Lytechinus pictus: one gene and its partners. The main gene of each other region encodes a partner of the protein of the gene in region 2 in a complex. Links are inferred from orthologs where the notes say so. Each region holds a gene or a part of one and is shown on either strand. Other genes may lie near its edges. The genes, in order: condensin complex subunit 2-like, structural maintenance of chromosomes protein 2-like, condensin-2 complex subunit D3-L-like and condensin complex subunit 3-like.

What was found.
Region 1: structural maintenance of chromosomes protein 2-like (region 2) and condensin complex subunit 2-like share a complex: the UniProt entries of both Homo sapiens proteins name them as parts of the condensin complex. The link is inferred for Lytechinus pictus from reciprocal best matches to the Homo sapiens genes SMC2 and NCAPH.
Region 3: the proteins of structural maintenance of chromosomes protein 2-like (region 2) and condensin-2 complex subunit D3-L-like are in contact, whole or in part, in a cryo-EM structure (PDB 9F5W), measured with the Homo sapiens proteins. The link is inferred for Lytechinus pictus from reciprocal best matches to the Homo sapiens genes SMC2 and NCAPD3. Residues at the interface, in NP_001036015.1 of Homo sapiens: Arg112, Ala122, Asn123, Asn124, Thr125, Arg126, Leu218, Lys222, Arg225, His229, Trp940, Asn942, Ala943, Glu944, Phe948, Arg981, Met985, Arg986; in NP_056076.1 of Homo sapiens: Asp31, Met72, Ile80, Pro127, Gly128, Ala131, Phe135, Pro137, Asp141, Lys235, Gln237, Gln240, Leu1121, Asn1196, Asn1200, Pro1203.
Region 4: structural maintenance of chromosomes protein 2-like (region 2) and condensin complex subunit 3-like share a complex: the UniProt entries of both Homo sapiens proteins name them as parts of the condensin complex. The link is inferred for Lytechinus pictus from reciprocal best matches to the Homo sapiens genes SMC2 and NCAPG.

What each region holds. Positions count from the first base shown.
Region 1 is NC_087256.1:27,812,110-27,819,447, reverse strand, and holds the start of condensin complex subunit 2-like, read left to right. Parts: upstream 1-4,315; 5' UTR 4,316-4,422; intron 4,423-7,338. UniProt on the Homo sapiens protein: Regulatory subunit of the condensin complex, a complex required for conversion of interphase chromatin into mitotic-like condense chromosomes.
Region 2 is NC_087255.1:14,793,157-14,800,119, forward strand, and holds the start of structural maintenance of chromosomes protein 2-like, read left to right. Parts: upstream 1-3,957; 5' UTR 3,958-4,066; coding exon 4,067-4,234; intron 4,235-5,971; coding exon 5,972-6,121; intron 6,122-6,963. UniProt on the Homo sapiens protein: Central component of the condensin complex, a complex required for conversion of interphase chromatin into mitotic-like condense chromosomes.
Region 3 is NC_087250.1:11,499,355-11,506,354, forward strand, and holds the start of condensin-2 complex subunit D3-L-like, read right to left. Parts: upstream 3,005-7,000; 5' UTR 2,968-3,004; coding exon 2,898-2,967; intron 1-2,897.
Region 4 is NC_087256.1:26,508,732-26,516,289, forward strand, and holds the start of condensin complex subunit 3-like, read left to right. Parts: upstream 1-4,554; coding exon 4,555-4,582; intron 4,583-5,963; coding exon 5,964-6,156; intron 6,157-7,558. UniProt on the Homo sapiens protein: Regulatory subunit of the condensin complex, a complex required for conversion of interphase chromatin into mitotic-like condense chromosomes.

The DNA of each region.
Region 1 (7,338 bases), on a different chromosome or scaffold from region 2:
GACGGTCCCTGAGACATGAATTTAGGGAAAATCCCAAAAGATGCAGCAAATGCAGAATTTTTATTGGTCAAATTTTGGAGGGCGCCGCCCCCAAATCAAACTTAGCTCGCTCACACGCAATCCTGGTGACGTCATGGTGACGGGTCGCGTGTGCAAAACTTTGAATTTCCCCATTGACTTTATACACATACAAACTCTGCAGTTCATGTGGAATACAAGGACAAAGTACGATATTTTCCCATTCAAAGAACAAGTAGAGGTAAGCCATTCGAAAATATAGAATACTAAATAATTACTGACAAATAATTACCGATCCTTTTAATGCCAAATATATCATAGCTACCTGAAATAACTCAATTTAGGGTGAAATTATCAGTCAAGAGGGATGCATTATTGGGGCTTCGTAGGATCAACGGACGCGCTCGACGCACTCGCAATGGTATGTAGGGATTTTGATAGAGCAAATACCGAATATACCGTTGTCCCTACTTTTAACTTGATTTTTCTCTGTTTTTTGGCAATTAATGCCAAGAGGGAATATTAATTTGCATTTTGGTCGCGTTAATTTTCAAAAATTTTATTCATTAAAGACAAAAATTGAAGAGCCCCGACGGGGGGATTTTGCATTGCAAGTCCCCTAATGGTGGCTGCACGCTAGCGAGCCGTCTGTGTACGAGGAGAAATAAAAAAAATAAAAAAATGTTTAAAAACTCCTCGAAACAGACGGCTGCCAGCTGTCTAAAACTGCAGGTGCTAACAGAAAATTAAATGCCTGGGACTGATGATTAAATCCGACACCCGGCCCAGCCCAGGCCAGTCGCTGCGCGGAAATATAAATACATCTAATATTGTGCATCGTCAAGTTATAAGTAGACTATTCCAGTTACATTTAAAAGCGTTTCATTGAATTTTATTAAAAAAAAACTTACGTCGTCGTGTTGCATTTTGTCTGACAAAGCACCAATTCATGAATTTATCTACAAAACTCAAAAGTACAGAATCCGTGGCAATCACGTCGGCTCGCACATGTCACGTCGCAATTTTGCCAAATCTATGGTATCACTAATAGAAAAATGAATTGGAAAAAAAATACGTTATTGCCCCCATAATCCTTTTCACTCTCAAAAGTTAAAAGAAGGTCATTATTCAAAGACAAATTAAACAATGAAGGCACCTTTAATTGTTGCCTTAAACTGTCAATTTCATAAGTAAAAGAAATTCTTTTAATGGGGCGACAACATGCATTAGCAAGTTTACTTATTTTTGTAAAATTAGTGTTTTGATGGCAGCTAGCCGTTTCAGACCACTGAATGAGTAGTGAAAGCGGTTCCCGATCATGCTGGCCCATGGGCCCTGCAGTGGCTTCTGATATTTTTTCGCTTTTCAAGTCAAAATATATCTCCACACGCTTTAATTTGAGATATTATACGTCATTTTCATGATTACTAAAAGTGCTTAAAATGTACCGATTTTATGTCTAAATATAAAATACATTTCAACTGACTCCCGCTTCGCGCACTCTCGCCTTCAGTTTTTCCAGGCTGGAGATATTTCTATCTCAATAAAAAGAGTAAAATTCACAGAGCAGAATTTTTCTTTTTTTTTAAACAAGTGCACACCAAGTTACCAATAATGCCTATAGCATTTCCATTTATTTGAAAGCAGGATAAGAGAGCATTGCACATTAAATGCCTTGCTCACAGGCATCGATGTGCCGCGGCCGGGGATCGAAACCGGGACTTTTTTTATGTATAGCCAGGCGCCTTAGACCACTCGGCCACGGCACCTTCAGCAGAATGCTGAAAATTTGATCAAAATCGGATAACAAATAACAAAGTTATTGAATTTTAAATATTTGAATTATTCCGGTGAAACTATTCTAGGCATGTCTTTATAAATATTCATTAGGTGGGCTGATGATGTCATATCCCCCACTTGTTCTTTTGTATTTTATTATATAAAATTAGATTTATTCAAATTTTTCTACCAAGAACTCAAACAATTGGATTGACAACTGATTAAGTGCATTAGTTATTTATTGCCGCAACTTATTTCATCATAATGCAGACACATCATTTACACATGTATGAAAAAATGAAACATTTATGATTTCATGTAATTACAAAATAAAAAGGAATGTGACATCATAAGCCCATCATATAACTGTTTTCACAAAATAGTGATAAATTTTAAAATTCAATAACTTAAATCGTTATAATTGTTATCCGATTTTGATAAAATTTTTAGCATTTTGCTTTGTGAATTTTACTCCATTTATTCAGATATAAATATTTTCAGCCCGGCCGGACCATCCCTTTAATGATTTAATTAGATAAATATGTTCAGTCCTAAAAATAGTCTTTAAAATGTTAATTTACATGTCTGAATATCAAAAATCTACAACTTGCACTTCGCGCCCGAGTATATGTGGATGGTGTTCTTCATAAATGAAGCGCTATGTTTGCTATCGCAAGGTTTGATTAGTAGGATACTTCTCTTGGTTTTACATTGCTTATATGTGCTTAGAATTTCTTTGTTTTTAGGTCTCAAGGTCTCGATCTATTAACCAAAAATTCAACTCGCGGCGCCGCATTATCATTATTATAATTATTATTATTATTATTAGTATAGTAGTAGTAGTAGTAGTCAGGCGCGGATCCAGGGGGGCACAGGGGGCACGTGCCCCCTTTTATTATTTATTATTATTATTATTTGAGATCACGCGCTCACATTCTTCATAAGGCTATAAGGTGTAGTTAAAACACCATGGCCCGTATTTTGAACTCGAGTTTAAATCAATCCCTGGTTTAAAGTTGTGGTTTAATATAAATATATATTTACTCATTCGACACCCCAATTGTTCACAATTGCCTGAGAATGGCAACGGAATTATTTTCCTTTGTAATGAATGCAAAATGAAACAAAATATTAAACATAAGAAATTCATAATATAAAGATAATTTTTGACTCCCATAATTTTAGCACATCGGTAGAGTTGGACCTTGGTCTAAATTAAACCTGACTTGGAAATACGGGCCTACAGTCTTTATATACATAGGACTGCCCCCCCCCCAAAAAAAAAAGGCCTTCAAACACAAAAAAAAATCAGCTTTTAGCAGTCAATTGGGGGAAATGTGAATGAAAAATAATGTTCCGTCCCTCCTATTTGCCTTTTGTATCCCCTTCTCGTGCCCTCCACCCGCTCGATCGCTTTGCTTTCTCGCCGAGGATCTCACAACGTCACAAAAATTGTGCTCCGACCTTCAAGATTTTGCCCCCTCAAATCTTAAAGTGTTCCGGCGCGCCTGTCTTTAATGTCTTGCAACGTAACTTTAACTACTAACTATACCGTCCTTTATTCAATAAATTGAGGCAAAACATCTTAATGGTTTTAAAAATATACTTTATTGAGGGTATAGTCAGTGGAGGGATGATCAAGATATTGTGATTGGCGATGGTCAAATAAATGAATAGATAAAAAATCTGTGAACTATAGGCGCGTTAATTATTTATATTAAGCATTATGTTGTACAATTTCCATATTCAAGGATAATTTTTTTTTCATCGTTAAGTGCCAGAAAAGAAGAAAAATAGGCCTATAACTATATTACAAAAACTTTGACAAACAAAAAAGGAGTATTTTAGAAACCGGACCCCAGCCTTTAAATTGGCGGTTCATCTATCACCCCCCCCCCCCTCCCCCTCTAGCTCCCCTGTCATCCGCCATGTCCTGAAATAAATTTTGGTGGAGCTTTAATAGCTAAATGGTTATTTCATAGTGGAAAGACCTATACAAAAAATTTTTTCGCCCCCAATCCAAGTCATAATTTGTCTTTCCTGTCAGTCTTTATTTTCCATTTACTGCAATGTGTTTTCTCCCGTTTTTTCTTCTAATTTCCTTTCCTTCCCTTTTCCCTCAACCTTCCCCGTATCTTTCCCTTTTTCCGAATTAGGCCTGGACTTCCTTGCTCCTGCCCCATTTTTTCAAAATATGGGTATGAAATGGGATTTAAAAAATGAATTTTATTTCAAATAGGGCCTAGGCACTGAAAGTGCGAGCGGGGCCGGGGGTCAATAATTAGGACTCGGACAAGTGTATTTTTAATCAGCGCAATTTTACTCTAGATAAGCCTGCGAATGATTGTCGACCGCTCACTGCCAAGAATTCTTAATAAAGCCCCCCCCCCCCCTTCACCTGCTTCCCCGCCCGGGGGGGGGGGGGGCGATTCGAACGAGCGCGAGCTAGCTAGCTACAGCAAGCGATCGAGCGAGCGGCGCGAGAGAGCGCATGGAGCCAAGATTATCGGCTGCGCATGCGCACCTACTCAAATGTCTTCAGCGCCATTTTCAATATTCGCAAAAGTTGTTTGTAAACAAGCCGCAAGTATTTGTCCTTATAAGTCTATTGAACATTTTATTAAGGTGAGTTTTTTTTAGCTATGTACTAGGCCTAAATTTGTAATTGGTTAGAAGGTGCGCCCGAAATTGTTATTATAGGCGTAGAATAGTAAACGTAACAAGTTGCAGTTTCTTCTAGATCTAGGCCTACTGGAATCTTACATCAGTCCCACCTATTAAATTCTGTGACTGTTAATGTTATTTAATACGAAGACTGTTCGGACAAAAAAAAACATAAATTAAAATCATCATGCTCTGGGTTTTCTTGACATACATGCATCATATATTATATCACAAATAATTATGAAGTTTTTTATTTTAATGTTGTTTGAGAGCAATTTTTAAACAATTGAGGCCTGAGGCGTGCTAAAAAAAACAAAATTAAATAAAAATGACAAAATACCGTATGGGTACTAGTATTCAACCCGGCATAATTCAAAGATTTTGACATATTCCCCAAAATATTTAGAAATGGGGAATTTATCTTAATTTCACACCTTTGTTATTTCCAGGGTAATCTGTTGTCGATATTTTCTTTGTCAATCTGTCGACTGTATGCGCGGAGGGTCGAATTATGCGGCGATGGCCTTTTGCACTGAATGGTACTAGTATTCAACCTAGTGAGGATTGATAGCAAATCTCAAAAGGGTTTAGATTGCTAAATTAGATCTAGATCTATGTAAGACTCTGGCTTTGATTAATTCCCTGTTTGGTCTCATCTCAAATGGTCTAGTCCATAGTCGGATGGGACAAGGGCAGATTGAGAGACAGGGCCATCTTTCATCGCTAGGTTGAATACTAGTACCGACGGGTTGAATACTAGTACCAAAATCCGTCGCCGTATAATTCGATCGCCCGCGCACACAGTCAACTGGTTGAAGAAAAAAATAACGGAAAAAGAATAACCAGCATTTGCTCTTGGAAATAAGACGGGTCTGAAATTCAGGTAAATTCTATATTTCTATATATTTGAGGAAACTCTCCAAACGGGTTGAATACTAGTGCCCTTACGGTACATAAGTTTAACATAATTCAATTGCCATGGCCCATGTCCATGAATCATGAAGGCATGATTGCATCATTGCAGTCAAAAATCCTGATGGGTTGACTTGGAATTCTGCAACCTTTACCGTTGCAGGAAATATTTTTTACACCGGCAGTGCAGAACAGAGGCAGAGGAAACAATCTAAAAATTTCTTGAAACGATCAAGACTGGATGTTTGGAGTAAATTTTTCACTCAAACAAGAGTTGTAAAAAAAATGTAAATTAGACTAGGCCTAAGCTAAGTCTAAGTTAGATCAATGGTCATTTTGCCTCCGACGAAGATTCTGCTAGGATCGAAAGCTTAGGCCCCTTTTTGACTTTCTAAGTTAGATCGACTTAGACTAGAGAGAGAAATGACCGAGATAATCTGAGATTTTTGCCTTTTTTTCATGTTTTTGCAATTTTGTGGCGTGTCGTCTGTCGTCCGTCCACAATTTCAAAATGCTCCTTCGCCATTTCAATTCTGTTTGCTTTATATAAAACTCATTAAATATGCTAATTTATATGCATTTTTCAAAATTCACAAAAAATGCTTCTTTATTTTTTGACCGATTTTGATTTTTTTGCTTCCATCTGGTAGAGCTTCATGAGGTTCACTAAACTTCTACACAGAATTTTTAAATTTGGAGTAGAAAATTATGCTAATTTATGCGAAATTAACTCATGCATATTTTTTAAAATTCACATAAAATGCTTCTTCTTCTTTATTTTTTGACCGATTTTGATTTTTTTCTTCCATCTGGTAGAGCTTCATGAGGTTCACTAAACTTCTTCACAGAATTTTTAAATTTGGAGTAGAAAATTATTTATGCTAATTTATGCAAAATTCATAAATCACAGAAAATGCCTCTTCTTTATTTGTTGACTGAATTTCAAAACGCTTCTTGTTCATCATTTAAAGTCTGATTTCAATTATGTTTGCTTTATATGATAGCATTAGGTGGGGGATTTAAAACTTCTACACAGAATTTTGAAACTCATAAAATATGCTAATTTATGCGTATTTTTCAAAAAATTCTAATAAAATGCTTCTTTAATTATCGACCGATTTTGATTTTTAGAATTTTGAAATTTTCAGTAGAAAATTATTCATACCAATTTATGCAAAATGTATTCATAAATCACAGAAAATTCCACTTCTTCATTTTTGTTCCATCTGAGAGCTACATGAGGTTCACCAAGGTTCTACACAGAGTTAAGAAATTTTGACTAGAAAATTATTTATGCTTAATTTATATGAAATTTATTCATAGATCACAAAAAAATGCTTCTATGTCATTTCTTCATCAATTTCAATTCTATATCCTCAATTTATGTCACCAATGTAATTCACTACAGTGTCAACTGGGCTGAAATTAAAATTGTGTTAAAGGAGAATAAAACCCTTGAAACCAGCTGAATCCATATCAAAGAGAAAAATCAAAGAAACATATTGTTGAAAGTTTGAGCAAGATTGAATGAATAATAAGAAAGTTATGAGCATTTGAATATTGAGATCACTAATGCCATGTAGATCCTCCCATTGGCAATACGACCAAGATCTGTGATGTCACACACGTACAACTCCCTCATTACTTTAGTACTTATTTCACTTATATTCTCATTTTTATAGAGTCTATCACAAGGTGAGGTGTTCTCTTTATGAGAGGACAAGTACAGAGGTTTCACAACATTATATCATTGATGAATCGTTTGTCATATGATTAGAATGAGCAAAAAGAGATGTTTTGGGGTATATTTTCAGTGTCCAAAAGGGGAGAGTTGTTCATCTGTGCCATCATAGATCTTGGTCGCATTGTCAATGGGAGGATCTCCATAGCATTTAGTGATCTCGACGTTCAAATGCTCATAACTCTTCTATTGCTAGTCCTATTTTACTCAAACTTTTGTTGATC
Region 2 (6,963 bases):
ATAGTGATTGGTTCAAGTAGCATCATGTGACCGAATATATTTCAACTATGATGTTGCGTGACGTCAGACCTCGATATATTTTTGGATATACCAATATTCTGACGTCATTATTTCACAAAACTGGATATCTCGGCGCACCGGCTTGCGCGCTCTCTCTCTCCCGGGCGCGCAAGTCCAGCGCGATGCGTCAGCGCAGACACTAATCTGCGTTCCGCTGGGCGCGGTGGCTCGGAGAAAAGTAGGTAATTCAACAGGACTTTGCATGCTCAGCGCATAGATTTTGGTTATAAATTATTAAAAGTAGGATATAAAGCAAATATATCAGGCGTTTCATTCGAAAGCATAGTGGGAATTATTGATCCTCGGTTGGACTGGCAAAACTACTATATTTCCCTCGGGGCTTTGCCCCTCGGGAAAAAATAGTAATTGCCAGACCAACCTCGGATAAATAATTCCACTATACTTTCTCAAAGCCCGATATATTTGTTTATTTTACCATAAAGATGTAGTGAAGTATATCAAATTACCTATTACAAGGAAATATGTGTTTTATACAGTTTAATGCTGTAATATAGCTCATTACACAACTTACAAAATACCAAACTGCTATCATTATAATTACTTTTGTATTGCAACATAACAATCTCTCTCTGAGGATTTTTACTCAAAGAAATATATGCATTATGGTGAACTGAATTTTCTTTGTACGCATAAAGCTTCCATATCAGTATGCGTAGGCAAAAATCTTAACATTTTCTTTTCTAGCACTGTTGCGTAATATATTTAGTTGGTAGCTGTCATGCCCCTCACGTTTTGAGTGTATTTGAGATTATAGCTTGGGTGACAATGTATCGCGTGCCATGTAGGAAATGTATGTTGGTCATCATTTATTGTTTGGATTGATTCCTTCAACGTTTCTAAGCAAAGTTAATGCTACGAACCAACGTTTGTGTATTCTCTTCATACCTAAAGTGTACTTTTTGTAAATCGTATCATTTATGCCATCGTGGATCTGTGCAGTTATCTTTATCTTTCATTGCTGTTCATGGTGAATGGATAACTAAAATGTGAGCATAATTAAAAACAACAGATGTTGCCTTGTCAAACTGAAGAATGAATTTGTTTATTATTTATTATTGAATATAATTTAGCTTTAAAATCCTTATACCTCTATTGAGCTACTGTGGTTTTCAAAATATTTAATGTGTGGAGGAATGTTAATAGAGTACCGAAATGTGACGTCATAAATTTGCACTTTTTGCATTTCAGCGTTTTTATACCATATTTTGGTATAGCATGATGAAAAACTGCCACAACCCAAATATGGTAGGAATCGGTCTGTGGGGCCCCAAGATATGACCTCATGAATACATAATTAGCTCAATCGAAGTCAATGTATTATTGGCCTGGTTCTAAATGTTAGGAACCAGGCCAATAATACGTGTACATTGAATTCAATTGGACCATAGAGCTATTACAGAATAGCTCTATGATTGGACTAACTATGTATTCATCAGGTCATATCTCAGGCCCCCATGGATTCTCACCAGATTTTGGAAGTGGGGGTTATTCATCATGCTCTACCAGAATACGGTATAAAAAATGCTGAAATGCAAAAAAAAGTGACGTCATCACTTCGGTACTCTATTACACATCGTTTGATGTGGGTGGAGGGGGAATTGGAGATTGGTTTGGAAGGAGAATGGATCAGGGGGGTAGAGAAGGAGAATGAGATACAGGGTGAAAAGGAAGATGATTGGTAGAAAGGGAAACAAAGGATAAGATGGAGAGAGGAAGCACAGGAGGGAGGCAGGGAAGAGAAGAGAAATGGGCAGATAGGTAGAAGGAGAGAGAGAGAGAAAGGGATCATAGGGTTGATAGATTCATCTACACATGTACATTACAGGCCTACTGTAGGAAACTGAAGTTGAAGAAGTTGATGACTGAGGGGCAAAGAATTCCAATGTTATGATGAATCATATGAGAGAGAGAGAAGAAGAAGAAGAAGAAGGGAAGGAAGGAAGGGAAAAAAAGAAAAAGAAAGAAAGAAAGAAAAAGAAACAAACAAAGAAAGAAAGAAAGAAAAGAAAGCATCAATAATGTCAATATTTACAAGGGAAGAAATGGAACAAGAAGTTTTTCGTTGTCCAGTCTTAATTGAAGTGATCTGTATGCATATGACCTAATATAATCCTAGTGTGAAACCTGCGAGTTTTTTTTATTTGTCAGTCATTCCCATATCTTATTTTATTCAATTTTTCCTTTCGTCATATATTCGAGATTCTTTAATCATATATTTTCTGTTGGTTTTTCCGTCTTCTTCCTATTTCATCATAATTCTATTTTCTCCTCCTTCCTCATTCTCCTCCTTCCTTACGCATCTCTTTCTCTTTTTTCTAAATTCCACCACCAATAGGGGGGGGGGGGGCTGATTCCATCCCGATTCACGCCTTGGAAATAAATTATTTGATATATGCTTATTTGTTATGATTAAAGGGCAAACCATCCTCACAAAATCAAAAAAGCTTTTATTTGAATAAAAAAGTAGAAAAAAATAATTTAAAAGTACGTTTAATCTTAAAAATTGGATATGAAACGAGGTAGTTCTGACAGTGTTTTACTTAATTCACAAAGTAGTTTTATGCACAACCTGGTCGGTATCCAAATGACGTACCGATGACGAATTAACTCAGTGACTCACTATTTCTTTTGTTATAATAACTAACAAACATTTTCTCCTCACTTTTTCTCCCTGACAATTGCCACTCTTATAACACATGTTAAATTCGATGAAGCTAGAGTATCATTATTGTCAAATCTGCAAAAAGAAATAATGTATAATAGTGAGTGACTGATATCGATTCTCCATGATGATTACCACTGTGTTTTGCATAACTTTTTAAAAATAAGCGAAATTCCATAACTTTCTTATTTTGCATCCGATTTTCATCAGCATGCTTTGTCTCTTTTTACTCAATATTGTTGGTGTGAACATTATTTTTAAGAAGCGTTCAATTCTAATTAACACAAAAAGTCACAATTATTATATGATTTGCATAAATGAAACAAAATCTGAAAAAGAAAAGTTTACATTTCATATAGGATAATATTTAAATAAAAACGAGCTAGGAAGGTAATAGGTAGTCCTATGCTGCATACTATAGGGCATCATTTTTTAATATATCATTTTAAAGGACAAAAGTTAATTTGAATTTTTAAAAGAGAACACTAGAATTTCATCATAACCAGTTGGAATTAATAAAAAAAAATATTTTGTCAATAATATACTTTAAATTTGCTTAATTTCACAAAATGTGCAGATATATCGTGCACGTAAAAATCCTGTTCTGAGTCTGTATAGAAATGAGGGGACTGATGACGTCATTTATTTTGCTTTTTTTTTAAAGATTATATATTTTTATTTTCTCTTCATTGTCCATGAAACAAACTTTTTATTCCTCCCTGAACATATGTCGAATATTGTTTTAACATTTCATATTGTTCAGTCAAGTTGGTTCTCATTGTCAAATCCTTACAAATGAAATAGGGCCTAAATATTGTATAATTCACACAACAAATTGAGGAAATAACAAAATAGTGAGTGCGGGACATCATCGTACACCCTAATTTGCACAATGAGTTGTCATGAAAACTGTTTTGTAAAAAATAAGCGAAACTTTAAAATGTCACAATTTTCTTATTAACTCAAATCAACGTTTTCTGGCAGCGTACGTGGACTTGAATTTTAAACAACCCCGACACAAACTTAAACATTTTTTTTGGGGGGGGGGGGTGTTTGGTGAGAGTTTAGTTACTTTATTAAAATATTTAAACCCGACCGAACAGAAAATTTCCCAAAATATTTACTAGTATTTGAATCATTGTGATGGCGCAAGACAAAAAAACCCAACATCATAAACAACAACTGCAAAGCCTGCCTTCGAGCTTCGCGCATGCGCAGACGTCAACCGCCAAATAACCGGGCGCTTTGAACGGAGCGGAGTGCAGTGCCGCAATACAACTTTTCAAAATATTATTTTTTGGGACTAAATCTCAGGAATACAAGATGTATATCAAGGAAATAATCATCGATGGATTTAAGTCATATGCACAGAGGACGGAAATCAAGGGATTTGACCCTCTCTTCAACGCAATTACTGGATTGAACGGTTCTGGAAAGTCAAACATCCTCGACTCGATTTGTTTTTTGTTGGGGATCTCCAATTTAACACAGGTGGGACTAAGGCTATTTTCGATGTGAAAACTGAATGTTCTTTGAAAGTTTGAGTTTGAATGAGATCCAGACAAATAGGCAAATCACTCGTTTATGAAAATTTTGAACAAAATTTACGTTAGACCATAATTGGCCCCTTATTTAGATTTTTCTATGCCAAGCTATGAATTTTAGCCTAAGTTTGTTACTTTAGGCCTAGATTTTTGGCATTGTCCGGATTTGTCGATCAGATCACAACTTCTCAAACATGAAACAGATCCCATGAATGATGAATTGACATGATGAAAAAGAGGATTAGCTTGGCGGCAAATAAAAATGTTATAAGCAGATTCCTCATAAAAAAATCACCCTTTTTTTTAGCTTTTCACCGTCTACTTAAAAATTCACTGTCTACTTTTGTTTTGATAAGGTCTAGGATTTTTGTTGTCATCCTCACACAAAACAAACGGGCTTCTGACTAGCCAGGACATGCAGGAGGCTCCTGGAGAATAAGAATTATTCTACTAACATAGGCTTACTCTCCACGGAGCCAGGAATTGCGTCCCGTTCATGCGCGTGTGCACCGCGAAAAAAACTGAAACTTTCGCCCCCGAGATTTCTACTTCTAAACGATCTAGGCCTAGCCCACTTCCACTTCCAAACGCGGTTCGTGGTGCGAGGTTAGTATACTAATACTAACCTCGCAATACGTGTGAGTGGGCCTAGCCCTAAATCATGTAAATGAGATACAACTTCATTTCCGACATTTCTACGATATTGATTTCATTTTTAAACAAGAATTCATTAAAAAAACCGAGAAAAATATGAAAAGACGAGGAAAACTTGCCACCGCGGTTATGTCGCCATCTTGTTTTCTTTGTCTTTCGCCAAGACGACAGCATGCATATCGCGATATATGCAAACAAAGGCGCACTATTACTATATAGTCTGAAAATGAGGAATGCATGTCCTCGCGCCTCACAAACCAGTAGAGGTGCTGGTCGAAAAATTGGGATTGTCCCAGAAAACAAGGATATCCTCATAAACCAAGACAAATCATGTCTTGATGAATTGAGACTGTCCTTGTATGGGGACATTTTTTTTTTTTCACTTACTCCTTCGGGACATATTAGATGGCAATTTGGGGGATTGAGAGTGCTAAAAATAGATTCAGTGGCCTCAATTCCCCTACATGTAGTTCACCATCTATTTTTCACGACTTGCTGTCTCAATAATAACAAGAATAGAGTCAATAAAAAAAAGAAACAAAACTATTCAAGAATTTGAGTGTGATATATCCGAAAGCCATGTATTACTTTTTAAGATTCTTGTATCCTCATTTCTGATAACCCATTTTTGGCAAAATGTGAGAATTTTGAATATATGGCCTCAATAAAATTCAATAAAAGGCTGATTGTCATCTGGGTCGTGCTGTCTATGATTGCTGTCGTATTGAGCTGAGATATTGTGTAACGGGCAAGATTTATTTTTAAAATATAGTTGCGAGTGAGCAAAAATTTCGACATTTTCTATACAATAGTCTGTGATAAAATTCGACATAATAAATTCAGAAAATAATTTGCGATTTCACCCTTCTCTTTTTTCTTTTCCTTTATCTGTTTTTCTTGGCGGTGATTTTTTATTTTATTTTTTTTATTATTTTTTTTTTAGGGGGGACAAGTTCCCCCAAGCCCCCCCCCCCCATCTGTATGGTACTGTATATGATTGATTCATTGATCCATCTTTTTGTTGTACTAGGTTCGAGCTGGCAGCTTACAAGAACTGGTGTACAAGGGAGGCCAAGCCGGTGTCACAAAAGCAACTGTCACAATAGTCTTTGACAACAGAGACAAGAAGCAGAGTCCAGTAGGATATGACAGCTTTGATGAATTCACAGTCTCAAGACAGGTAATGATATCATGGGGTCGTTTTCACAAAAACTATTATCCCTGCACAATCAATAGCAATTTTGAGGAATTCAACTGTTCTCAATACACTGGAAAATTTACCTCAAAATTTTTGGCCATCAACTGCAACCTTTATCAATGATATGAACTTTCATGATCAAATCCATATTAGAATATTACAAAATCTACACACATTTCTATGGATTTTCCATTGAAATTTAAATTTGTTATGAAAATTGATTTACAGTTGATTTGAAGGGAATAAAGATAACAGTATGTTATTCGTTCTTTAATCTAGAATCAGTTTCATGCTAGGATACATGGTTGATATGAATGAAAAGTAGAAAGAAAAGAAAAAAAAAAAAAGTAATTTGAAGGCACAGCCATTTCTTTGACCCGAGACCAAAATATTTCATTTTAAGAGAGGATAAATGGAATATCCCAAAATAAGCCCTAAGCAAAATGAAAACAGTCCAGTTCTAGTTCACTGATAGTCTTTAAAAAAATAAAATCTGTGGGAATTTTCTATTTTAATCTTAACCCTATATAGATCTAGGCCATGGTATTTTGGGAGATCATAAAGATCTCGGCTGTTGATCGTGCGATCGCGTCAAAAATTGGCATGGAGGTTGTGTGGGATATAATCTACAAAATTGTATTGTAATTTATTTCTTGCAAATTGCTATTGATTATGCTAATTTACAAATAATTAGTATGCAAAATCATAATTTGTCCTCTATTTCCCTAAATAAAGCTCCAAATGTTCTAATTTTTGGTGCAGAAACTCTTTGTGGTGTTCTTGGCAAATTTACTTTTAAAAAATTGCGATATCAGTTCAATTTC
Region 3 (7,000 bases), on a different chromosome or scaffold from region 2:
AAATATATATAACAGGTTAAAAGTTTATATTCAGTTTTGATGAATCCCCGGAAAGCACATGTATGCAGCAATTCTGATTCATTATGAGGGGAACTGCACACACATAGCTAGAAATTCCTCCTTTTGCACCACACTCACACACCCAAATATTGACATGGTTATGAGGAGAAAAATCAATGTTTAACACATTTCTGACATATGATGCTATTATCAATTTTTTTTTGTATCAAATTAAAGAGAATTAAATGCTCCTTAAAGATAGCCTACTTAACAGTTTTCATATACATGTAGTCACTACCATTATTGAGTGAGTGGGCTATACATGGGTCAAAAATACTTTTTTTGTCATTTTAATACGGCAACAGTTTTTTTTTTATTCCTTGTAATTAATATCTCAACATGAAATGACAATATTTTTTGTCTTGGGTCCGAGAAAAAAGTGTGCCGGGCCAAAATCCAAAATGGCAGCCAAACCCCGCAACTGGATCTGGATGTATACGAAACAGGGCCCTCATGGGCATAAACGCATCGGGTACTTGACCTAAATTTTGCCGGGACCGGCAGGTGCAATACACCGGATGAACACCCTAATCTTTGACGAAATAGTGTATTGGTGTTAACATGCATAGGTTGTACCTCTCCTATGTAACACAGGAGCAACATTTGCGTCCTTTCCGATGGATGGAGTGTTTTCCAACTGCATTCACACCTGCACTGAATAGTGGTGAGGCACGCTAACACACAACGCTATAGCATCATACTTTTTTGTTAGACGCGTTTCGGCATGAGCGGGACTGAAACCCCTCATGTTGAGATCTACGATCTTATTCGAAACATGCGCTCTAACCGACTGAGCAACGCTGCCTCGATGACATCGCAGTGAAAAGTTTTGGTCACAACTTCTTTATTTGGTAAAAAGGGGATTTTAAGTAGTTTGTTGTAAAATCAATATTGAGACACGTACACAATTCGCCAATCAAAATGCGAGCGTGCAGCGCTAGCTGATACGTTTTGACAATCAGACCTGAAAAGGGATATTTTGAAAATGTTATGGAATACACGAAAATAATAGTAGGGCGACTGCACACAGAGAAAAAAAATCGCCCTTTTCACCGCATTCACACAGCCAAAAATGGTCATGGTTTTGAGGGAAAAATCAAAGTTCAACGCATTTCTGACATATGATCCTATTATCCAAATTTAATGAATTTGGTATCAACTTAAAGAGAATAAAATGCTCCACATGTATAGCCTACTTACATGTAGTTTACATTTGGTTACTACCATGATTTTGATGTGGCATTAAAAAAGGAAGTTCAAAGTTTTGTATCTTGTGAATAAAAGTACCATATTTTTATAAACTAGTGGGTTTTTGTAGTATTGATAATGGCAAATCCAATGGAAATACTCATTTTTCACCTTTCCTTCAGGATCAAGTGTCAGAATTGCTTTCAAAATACCCCCCCCCCCTCCCATACTCCAGAAAGCCCAATGCAAAACTGCACACAAAATATCTGCACTCTGTGTGTGGTCGTGTGTTTCAGCTGTGAGTGTGTTGTGACAAATTATACTACAGAGCCTATTGGGAGCATTTGGTGGAATTTCATTCGAAATTCATTTGATTATTACTCAAAAACTGATTCATGGATTACTATGAAATTTGGTAGATTTCTATTTTGCACTATTTTTATCAAGATCTGAAAAAATCAAACAGTTTAATGAAGTGGTTGATGAGATAGAAAAATCTTGTGGTCTCCCTAATAATAGGTAGGGCCTACCTGATAAATCAACATTTGCGATAAAATTCAGGCCATAAAACTGATATTTTTACAGAGCACCTTTTAAAAATCAATTTGTAAATCACACAAAATAATGAAAGTTCAATTTCAGAGGTGAAATATATTGTCAGTAGAGGCGCTGGTCCAAAGATTGGGATTGTCCCAGAAAACAAGGATATCCTCATTAACCAAGACAAATCATGTCTTGATAAATTGAGACTGTCCTTGTTTATAGGAATTTTTTTTGTTCACTTCCCCCTACGGGACAAAGACATCAATTACAGGAATTGAGAGTGCTAAAAATAGATTCAGTGATCTTGACTTAATTCCCCCCAGTTCACTGTCTACATACACATGGTCTATTTTTCATGACTTCCAGTCTTCCAATAATCTTGTTATGAAACCTGATTTGTTACATTGACTAGCGTACTTGATTGGTGTCGGCACTTGACAGGTGAATGAACTTTACTACATTTCTTGTGAAGAAAGCTTTAAAAACTGAGACAGTCGCTGTAAAACTGGGACAATCCCAATTTTCTGACCAGCGCCTCTGACACTCTGATTGTGTATAGGCCTAGTATATTATTGACTTCCAAACTTGTTATTTTGACTCCAGATTGAACAAGATTATAAGATATGAAAATCACCCAGCAGGTAATGCGAGCGTGAACCTAAAAATTTTAAGTGACATGATGATGAACATTATCATGATGAATCATGATGATGAAAGATTCTTTTTATTTTCCAAGTAGGGCCTAGTAGTAGTACCGTAGGCTAGTAATTCCCCTCATCTTATTCACTCGTCTTCCTCCTCTTCCATTTCTTTTTTTCTCCTCTCTTTCCCCTTTTATTTGGCTCCGCCAATAGGGGGCCCGGGCCCCTCGCCCCCCCCCCCCCCCCCCCCCCCCTGGATCCGCCTATGAGTATGAGCGGAATATTCAAATATTGTCGCCCGGGAGCGCCGGCGGGCCAGCCGTGCACGTACCGCATAGCGGCACTAGCTTCCAGAGCAGATCAGCTAATCAAAGTTACCTTGCAATAAAATTATAAAAACAACATCACTCTTAAGCAGGAATACCTAACGCTAGATCTCCTAATTCACATTAAGTGTCGTCTCACCTTCATCTAAGAGTTCAATTCCCAAATTTGCAAAGCGTTCAGCGACGTTAGATTCCGGTTCTTTCGCCATCTTCCTTCTCAATCAAATTTCCCGCGCGCGCGCCTGCCGGCCGTACCGTACGTTTTAAAGGAGAATGAAACTCTTGGAGCAAGTTAGCTTTTGTGAAAGCAGAAAAATCAAAGAATAAGATCAACAAAACTTTGAGTAAAATAGGACTAGCGATAAAAGAGTTATAAGCATTTGAATGTCGAGATCACTAATGCTATGGAGATCCTCCCATTGGCAATGCGACCAAGATCTGTGATGTCACACACGTACAACTCTCCCATTTGGACACTGAAAATATACCCCAAAACATCTCTTTTTGCTTATTCTAATCATATGACAAACGATTCATCAATGGTATAATGTTGTGAAACCTCTGTACTTGTCATCTCATAAAGAGAACACCTCACCTTGTGATAGACTCTATAAAAGTGAGAATATAAAGTGAAATAAGTACTAGAGTAATGAGGGAGTTGTACGTGTGTGATATCACAGATCTTGGTCGCATTGCCGATGGGCCCTGAGGATCTACATGGCACTAGTGATCTCAATATTTAAATGCTCATAACTTTCTTATTATTCATTCAATCTTCCTCAAACTTTCAACAATATGTTTCTTTGATTTTTCTCTTTGATATGGATTCAGCTGGTTTCAAGGGTTTCATTCTCCTTTAAGTTCGCTGGACTCGCGCGCGCATATGCATAAACACGCATAAACATCTCTGTTGAGGCATGGATGGTTGAGGCGACACCTTGCACAAGGGGGAAGGGGCACTGAGAGGGGAGCTCAGTGGGAAGGGGGCATATGGCCGGATCCCAAAAAAAATCACCACCATAAAAAATGAGAAAAGAAAGAAAATTAAGAAATTTACTTGTCGGACGTTTTATCCGACAAGACCCATTTTGTCCGACAGTTACCATAGTAACAGTACCTCTCAACCAATCAACATCAGAGAAAGATGTCAGATCTGACAACTTGTCGGATGAAAATGTTGATGAAACACTCCCCTGGGGGGCGTTTCATGAAAGGACTTGTCGGACGTTTTATCCGACAAGTCCCATTTTATCCGACAGTTACCATAGTAACAGTACCTCTCAGCTAATCAACATCAGAGAAAGATGTCAGATCTGACAACTTGTCGGATGAAAATGTTGATGAAACACTCCCCAGGTCTGTATGCAAATGAGGAGACTGATGACATCATCCACTCACTATTTCTTTTTTATTTTATTATATGAAATATGAAATATTCTAATTTTCTCCTCTTTGTCAAGTGAAACAACGATGAATTCCTCTATGAACATGTGGAATTAGCATTGTTTAATGCTATATGGTTCAGTCAAGTTGGTCCTAGTTGTCAAATCTGTAAAAAAATACACTGTAAAAAGTTTACTGTAGATTTTACAGTAAATTACTGGCAACTCTGCTGCACGGTAATTTACTGTAATTTTTATTTTACAGTAAGCTACTGTAGTTTCGTCCTACAGTAAATTACTGTAAATTTGAACTAGCTACAGGAAAATACCGTGAAAAGTGCTGTAGCTTACTGTAAAATTTACCAAATTTTAGAATTGTTGCTACTGTAAATTTGGTTAAATTACAGTAAACTACTGTAAATTTCCCTTGCATTACAGTGAGGTACTGTACACTTCCTACAGTAAAATGCTGTACACCTTCCCAATTTACCCCCAGTACTGTACACTCCCTACAGTAATTTACTGTAAATTGACCCCATTTACAGTATGTTTTACTGTAATTGGCACAACTTCCAATGACAAAAATACACTTGAGTAAAACTTTTGAATGAAACTTTGAAAAGTCTTTATTGCATTAACATGCAGTAGAACTGACAATGCCATATTTCACAAACAGTACAATTTTTGTAAGGATCATGGGCAAAATGCTGGCAAGTAGAATGTGTTGCATAATCAAATTTCAAAGATGACAATTATACAGAAACTATGTACACAGAAATGTCCTAAGAATGCTGATGTTCATTACAGACCTGTTCACTAATGTAGTCAAATTTCATGAATACTTTGTTCCTCTGGATTTGGTAATAGGTAATTACCATGGACTGAATGGTATTACAATAAGTGGCATCCTTTTTGCATGCATAAACTCTTTATGTATTTGTTGGACCTGTCAGAGCAAGCAACAAAGGTTGTAAGAACAACCATAAAATTTGGTTGGTGTTACTTTATCTGCTGTTTGCAATTCAGTTGACTTAAACATTTTGTAAATAAATCTATTCAACAAGTAAAATTCACCTTGCATGCATTAAAGTAGTTGTAATTGCTAACCTTACACAAACTTTCAGGCCACTGTATATTAAATGAGAGTACATTAATGAACAGGTGTGTTTTAAAGCAATCCATTTACATGAAGGGTACCATAATCATTCAAATATTCAGTCATAACCCATTAGAATCAATTACAAGTGAAAGCAATTTTTCACTTATGCAACTACTGCCTGAAATAATGGCAAACTTTCAATTTCTTTAAGAAAACAAATCTGACTAAAGTGAACTTCCTTCTAGGAGGGCTTGTCTCAGCTGACCTTGGATGAACACTGGATGAACATACACACGCACACACGCACACACACACACACGCACACACACAGACTCTCTATCTCTTACATCCACATATCCGTAGTAACACGCAAAATGCTTACTCCATGGTAACCTGACGACAATGCTTCTACCAGAAGAAAACTGAATTTTTAAGTGAAACTTCTCACTTATGAGTAATTTTACATGTATACTATTAATTGATAAAAAATTAAGTGTATGTCAACTTCTTATATATACATATTCCCAAAAATCTTATTAAGACAGAAAACCTTATTCAATCCTATATCAAAATAATGAATAGTCCTAAACACACACTGAACCAATAATTTATATTACAAGCATACAAATACATTAACTGCCATGAATACATTAAATTGTGACAATAATATTACATTGCATACAATATTCCTCACAAATAAAGTTTCTTACAACAGTACTATCAATTTGATATTGAAACTGGCAAGAAAGAACCCGAATGAGAGTATTGCTACCATTGCAAATACTTAATATTTACATGAATATTTGACGAACAAACATGTACAAATATGACCTCCAATTTTGCCAAAGTAATGTTTGTACTGTGACACTTGAACAGCTGCGAAAGTGAAAGTATGAAAATGTTATAATTCTGTGAACAACAAAATACAATGTAGTAAATCCTCAGTAATCATAATGAAGAAAAATGTCAATCTGTGAGAAGTATCTAAAATTTTCAAATTTTTCTGTACTACATCATGCAAATCTGCTATTTTGAGAAACTCTTGAAATGTAATCAAAATGTCACATGCTTTTTCATTTGAGGAATTTCTGATACATTTAATATCCTTTTCTGACTATAAGAAAACAAAAAATTGCTACATCACCTTAAGATTTCCTGAATTTCTTGATATAATTTGGTCCTCTTTACAAAAATGGCTAACAGTCAGCCATGCATGATATGCAATAATGGAGATCACTGTGTCATTCATGTAATAATAATATAATAATAATCTCACTCCACCTTGGTAGGCTGTGTTAAAGCCACATACATTACAGAAGTTTACATCGTTCTCAGTAAACAGCTTATTGCAATATTTGTCAACATCTTGATGACCAAGCGCTTACTACGCAGTATATATATATACATATATATATAATGTAGCACAATGTTGAAATCGAAATTGATTTACAGCAATGTTAATCCTAACTAAAGATGAATTTTCGACCACGAATGTTGGAAATAGATGCCTCCGCTACTGCCATACCAGAAATATATTTCCTAGTTTTTATTTCCATAAAGAAAAAAAAAACCCTCAAGACCTTTGATCTTGTGACTTCAAAATCTAGTCAGATAACTGTTTCTCAAAAAAGCAAATATATGCATTTGATTGAATCCAGAGAGCTTGAGATTTGACTTTCAGACCCAAAATCTTAATAGATCATTGTCACTTGTATATGCACAAATGAGCGAAGTTTGAAGTTGATTCGTCAAATGGTTTGG
Region 4 (7,558 bases), on a different chromosome or scaffold from region 2:
AGTTTGAAAGTAGAAACAGTTGTTTGAATGTCAGAGAAATAGAAACGACGGAGGATTGAGCAATAGTCGACTCCAGGGATGGAGCGAAAATAGAGGGGATGGGAGTCAGAAAGAAATGAAACAAGAAATTGAAGAATAATGAGAAGAGGAATATTGAACCAAACTCAAAACATTAATATGACAAACATATCAAATATAATTTAAAAAGTAAACATAATTATTCTTTTCATTGTAAAAAAAACCCCATCTGATTAAAGAGTAATATCAATCTTATTCAAAAATATTTTTGTTTATAATTTCTCTTGAACGAGTTAAGGGTTTGTTGATTTTGTAATTCATTTAGGAGAGAATTCCATGATTTTGCACCTGAGTATTTGAAGGATTGTTTGAAAAGTTCGGTATTTGGTTTGGGCGGGACGACATTTAAAGAATCAGCATTACGAGTATTAAAACCATGTCTGTCATAAAACATTTCTATTTCATTGCAAAGTCTGAGTGGTGTAGAGCCATGTATGCAACGATACATAAGTACATTAATGAAATAATATCTTTGCATCTCAAAGTCTTGCCATTTTAAATCTTTAAATAATTTTGAAACACTAATATCACGTACACCATAATTCTTAGTGACTACACGAGAAGCTCTTTTTTTAATCCGTTTGATAAGATTACGATTTTTCGATGAACAATTTCCCCACACAGAGCTTCCATAATCAATGACAGGTTGGATGGAGGATTTGAAAAGGGTATTCAGTAAATGGGTGTTTAACATACTACTAAGCTTACGCAACATATACACTTTGTAAGAAAGGTTTTTATACAAGTCAACTGTTTAATGTGCTCATCCCAAGTCAAATGAGAATCAATATTAACACCAAGGTATCTAGTACAACTGACTTGTTCAAGTTTTGTGCCATTTAAGAATACATTCAATTCAGTAGGATTTGAATTGGTTTTTGTCGAAATTAGCATAACATGGGTTTTATCGGAATTGATTTTCAATCTGTTATTTTTGTACCATTTATCAATTTCCGTGATGCACATTTGCAATTTAGATTCAGCTTCTATTAAATCTTTACCTGTTGTATAAATGGCAACATCGTCAGCAAATATGCTACATGAACCAGCGTTTACTCTTTGGATTATATCATTGATATATAAGAGAAACAGGGTGGGGCCAAGGACCCCACCCTGGGGAATTCCTATTTTTACTTTGCCTAATTTTGACATTTTACCATTAAAATAAACAGATTGCTTTCTTTCATTGAGGTAACTTTGAAACCATCGTAATTCGATTCCATGAATACCATGATATTGTAGTTCAGATATTAATAGATCATGAGAAATAGCATTAAAGCACTTCGAAATTTTTAAGAAACATACCGAAACCACTTCACGATCATTCAAGGCTTCTAGCCAATCGTCAATAACTCTGTGTAGACAAGTAATGGTTGAGTGATTTTTTAAGAATGCCGACTGTTCCACTGTGATAAAATCATGATCCATTAGGTACGACATGAATTGTTTGAGTACCAGTTTTTCCATTATTTTGGCTAAATGTGAGACAACAGAAATTGGCCTATAGTTGGAAGGAACATCTTTGTTTCCCTTTCCTTTGTAGATTGGGGTAACCCGCGCATATTTCCAATCATCAAATATAAACCCATTTTTCAGTGAGAAATTAAAGATATTGGTTAGACTCATTGTTAGGTATGGGGCAGCAACATTTAACAATTTACAGTCAATTCCTAACACATCAATGTTGCTTCTACTAGGTAAATCATTCAAACAGTTTAAAACATCATTCACAAAACTTGAATTCATGTGGACATGGTGGATTATTCCAACATAGAGGGTCATGGGAAATACTTTTAGTAATATTTTGACCAACATTAATAAAAAATCATTAAAATCATCAGGAGTAATATCGTTATTAATGTCACTCAAGAACTTGGAATTGCCAGTGACTCGATTTAATTTAGTCCACAGTTTTTTAGGGTTATTATTAAACTCATAAGATACCGTACTGAAATACTCAGCCTTAGCCTTTCGAATAGTACTGGTCACAAAATTACGTTGCTTACGATAATCTTCGAAAGAATGGTTACATTTAGCTTTGCGTTTTAAAAAGTCCCTTTTGTTTATGGACTTAACAACTCTGACGTTATCCAAGGATTGTATCTGTTTTTAACTCGTGAACATTTAATAGGAGCATGTTTATTGCAAATGCCTAAAAATGCATTGATCCAAGAAAGCCAAATATCGTCACATGTCGTGCTAGTTTCGGGAATAAAATCATTCATAAGACGACTACATTTGGATATGTCGCTTAAAAAGTCATCCAAATTAAATTCATTATATGTTCGGAAGCTTATCATTTTATGACCAGAACGTTTGAAATCAAAGTCAACACAAGTAAAAATCATGAAATGATCACTGAGTGATATTTCACATACATCACTAGTAGTATGGGAATTTGGTATAGTGGAAAGAATTAGGTCAATACAAGTGGACGAATGTGCAGTAACACGAGTTGGCTTTTTAATAAGCTGCTGTAGTGGGAATACACATTCAATGGAATGTATTATTGTATTATTTCCACTGAGGTAATCAACATTAAAGTCGCCGAGAATTATCAACTCTTTATCATCCATCATAATTTTTTTTAAGACATTGGAAAAATGATTCAGGAAATCGATGTCTGTGTTAGGTGGACGATACATGCAGCAGGTAAAAATATTTGTAGATTTACATTTAATTTCAATGAGAGCCATTTTAATAGTAGAGTCAGTAAGCAGGTCACATCTATCAATAATATTTAATGATTTTTTAGCATAAATGCAAACACCTCCACCTCTTTTATCAATTCTGTCTTTTCTTATTATATCATAGCCTTCAATAGCGATGAACTGGTCTACGATCTTATCATTGAGCAAGGTTTCCGATATACACAGAATATCTAAATCAAGTGTTATATGTAGATATCTCATTTCATCGATCTTCGGGTAAAGACTGCATGTATTTATATGGGCTAATTTCAAACCAGAACAACTTCTAATTTTATATTTAAAGTCATGTATAAGAGACTGTGAAGACTCACAATTTACAGATGTGTTTGAAGACTGTGGAGAATCACAATCTACAGATGTGTTTGAAGACTGTGAAGGATCACAATCTACAGATGTGTTTGAAGTCATATTATGAGATGAGCATATGAGGGAGGATAGATGCTCATTAACGGCAAAATCTTCTTTGCCAACTAATTACAAATTTTGGTTGAAACGATGAAACTTGGCTTTGTGGCCATACTGAGAACAAGAGTTACACTGTAATTTTGATTCATATCTACAATTTCTCTGTTTATGGTTGAGTTCACCACAGTTGTAACATCCTGTATAGGAAGGATGTGGAGTGGCAGAGGATTCAATCTGAGTTTTTGGAGTGTCAATTATATGGGAAGAAATTGCACAACCAAACAGTCTAGCGCCTTCAGCGTTCAAGTGGACGCCATCTGCGGCGAGATGATTTTCAGGATCTATGTTCAATAAACTTCCAGTTCCTTCGCAGTGCCATCTGGTGAAGCAGCTAGTTTGCCTCGTAGGTTTTCCATTCAAGTTCCTTTTGAAAGGTCTTATGAGGGATGATGGAACTCAAGACAATTGTTGAAACAGTAGAACAGTTAGCTAAAATCTGATCGCCAAGAGATTCAATCTGTACAACTAACATGCTAGGATCAGCGTTAATCAAATTATTGGTTCCGACATGAAGAATAACTACTTTTGCATGGTATTTATTTGCAAGATGATGGGCATGTTCGAAGACATTCTCTACTCTGGCACCAGGGATAGTTTTACAGTAGACTCGATTCTTGTGATTAGACATTGACAATGGTTTAAGATGTTTAATTATCGAATCACCAATCACAAGGGTATTGATTTTCTCATCGGAAACGAATACACGATCAGATTCAATACAATTTAAATTCTCACTGGTATGAGACTCATGAGTAAATCTCACACTATGTTTGTAACGGTAATCATGAAGTTGCTTATCGAAATCTTATGATGTTCGGAAAGCTTCGTCATTCCCACTGTGGGTTAGTGGTACTGGAACGGGAGGTGGGTCTTTTTGAGGATGGTCATCTGAAGGATGGTCATTTGAAAGACAAGAAGTGTTTTCATTGGGGCTGTTAAATATCTGTGCATGACTAGATTGAATAGCTTCAAGCAAGCTATTTACAAGGGATTTGAATTGCTTGAACTCATGTGCAAGATAATCCAATTTTTCACGAAGATTAACATTGGAAGTTATAGTTGCTGTCTGCGCATGAGAATCATTTGACGATGAGCAATGCTCGGCACAAGAGTCGAGAACGGGGGAATCCTCGGTGGGTTGTGAATCATCCATAGAATCCTTTGTGTTTGGGTAATTACATGGGGGTTCCACCAACACTGGGCATTCATCCCGATGTATTGGATTAGAAACTTTGGAGGTCAAGGGAGGATAATCCGTTTCGCACCTCCCTTCAATAGGATTAGTTTCGGGCTCCGTATAATGGTTGCTAATGGCAACGCTTACATCAGTTTGGCAACTGTTGTCATGGTGTTGCCTAACGCTCGGCTTGTAGCTTTCTGGACGTTTGGGGCGGCCATTTTGAAGAGATATGATACTAAAATGGCGGGCTATATCCTGGTTTAAATTAGGATAAATAGACCCCAATTCAGATGTAAGATAGTCCACAAGTTCATCATCTAAAATAGCATCAGTAATATCATGAATCAGTAGATGTGAAAGAACTGCGTCAATACTTGAGATTGTTATATGCTTTGGTAGTTTACATCTAAAGTCGTCCGAACCAATGGTTCCATGGCAGGAATTAGTTTTTATCTTCGTGCAATGTTTTGATTTAGTCATTATGAAGCTTCAGTATCATATGAAGAAGAGGATATTGTTGAATTCATATAGTTAAACATGCACAAGATGATAATATGTTACCTGGTGTTACGAGGGTAGACAAATATAACAACGAAGGATTAGCTCGGTTTGCGAATCCAAAAGTGTGTATGGGACTAGGTGTGTCCAATACATCGTTCTCAGGGTCACATAATGTCGAATTGATGATATCCAAAGTATGGTAAAGTCCCAAGAATAAATCCACAATGATACAAAACAGCACAGAATATATTCTGGAAGCAGAAAGAGTATTATGATTTCCAAGTATTGAAAGTCACAAATTGTAAAAAAGGTAGATTTAGAGCCAAAAAGCAGGAGCAACGAATAATTGAAGTGCAAGCAGAAAATCGTAACACAGCTATCACCACAGAACGTTTGCTTTCTTGGAAATGATGAATCCAGAAGTGTGGGAACTCTCAACAACTAATTCTAACTCTCGCTGGACAACGATCCGGGTAAATCTGAACTTTAAAAGCAAACGAAGACACCTGAAACAATGCAACGAGACGAATTTGTACAAATCATTTGAAGGAGACAATTGGTCCACATTTAATACCATACGTAGTGCGAGATTTTGTAAAATTTTTGATCAGGGTTGGCCAGATTTGGAAATTGGGACGGTGAATACTGGCAAACTCCGGTAAATACTGCCTTTGCTGGTCTTTGAGGAAAATGGAAAATAGTTGGAAATACAGGGAAATACTACAAACTATACTTCTTGAATATTTTCAGGCATTGTCTCTCAGCATATTCTAGCATTTCCTTGTACATGCACTCCCTGTACATCTGAAATATTTCCCAGTGTTTCCAACCAGAGCGGGAAATACCAAAATTTCCCCAGGAATTGAACTGCTTCATGCATGCCCTAATGAAATCCATAATTAGGACTTGCGTGAACACAAACAAAATCTTTCGTACATAGTTAATTGATTAAAAGCCCTCATAAGAAATGGATATTGCAGAATAGTTTTTTAAACTTCATTGTCAACCATGTTATCTTTGTAACCTAGACATTGTCAAGGACATCTGCTCTGGTAAGATGCTTCAGAGCTGGCTTAGAGCCTTTGATGGTAATGCCATTGATCTTCTCAAGCGCTTGGATGTTGAGAACTCCTGCGCTACCGCAGAGCTCGCCCTGAAGACCATTTTCGAGAAGGTTCCCGTCTCGGGATTGGTGGAGGACTTTGATCTACTGAATGAAGAGTAAGTCATACCAGGGGCCCGTCTTAGAAAGAGTTGTGATTGATCCAATCAATTGCAACTATGGAAAGCCAGCAAAGTCAACATATGAAATGCATGTTTATTCAAAGATTGTTCTAGATATGAATGTATATCCATAAAGTCATTGCTTTCTTGACAATTTGGTGTGTTTTCCTTTGTTTACAAAGGACATTGTGCAATTTCCTGTAGAAAAAATTAACACAATGATGGATTTCCATAGAGTTACAATTGATTGGATCAATCGTAACTCTTTGTAAGACGGGGCCCAGGTGGGTGTTTCATAAAGCTGTTCGTAAAGTTACGAACGACTTTACACATGTTCTTAGGTCATAACTCAATTACATAGGGATATCACAGAGCACAAGAAAGGATCACCAGTCGTTCGTAAAGTCATTTATCTTACGAACAGCTTTATGAAACACCCACCAGGAGTCCTTCTTTAAAAGAGATGCTATCCAATCAACCTCAACTATGGAAAGCCAGCAACACCCACATATTTGTTCAAAATGTTTTCTCGATATGTTTACTCATACATTCATTGTTGTCTTGACATCTTAGTGTCCCTCCACTTTGTTACCAAAGGACATCGTGCACATTTCTGGTAGTAAAAGTTATGACATTTCTGGATTGCCATATAATTCAGGGTGATTGGATCAATCACAACTCTGGGACCCAGATTAGGTCCCCAGGATATGCTTGCTATTTTTTTTTTAAAGGTCAAGTCCACCCCAGAAAAATGTTGATTTGAATAAATAGAGAAAAATCTAACAAGCACAACACTGAAAACTTCATCAAAATCGGATGTAAAATAAGAAAGTTATGACATTTTAAAGTTTCGCATATTTTTCTCAAAACAGTTATATACACAACTCAGTGATATGCAAATGCGAGAGTCTATGATGTCCATCACTCACTATTTCTTTTGTTTTTTATTGTTTGAATTATACAATATTTCAATTTATACAGAATTGACAATAATGTAAAACTTGACTGAACTACATAATGTTAAAACAATGTTAATTCCACAAGTTCAGGGAGGAATAAAGCTCGATTTCAAATGACATGGGTGAGAAGATCAGAATATTTCATATTTCAGATAATGAAATACAAAAGAAATAGTGAGTGCGTGATGTCATCAGTCCCCTCATTTGCATCCTGGCCAGGATGTGCATATAACTGTTGTGTGAAATTAAGTGAAACTTTAAAATGTCATAACTTTCTTATTTTACATCCGATTTTGATGAAATTTTCAGTGTTATGATTGTTGGATTTTTCTCTTTTTATTCAAATCAACTTTTTGTCGGGGTGGACTTGTCCTTTTAAGTGAATACCAAGTCTGATTCCTTTCATAAACAAGGTTACAATTACAACATTTAAATGGTTG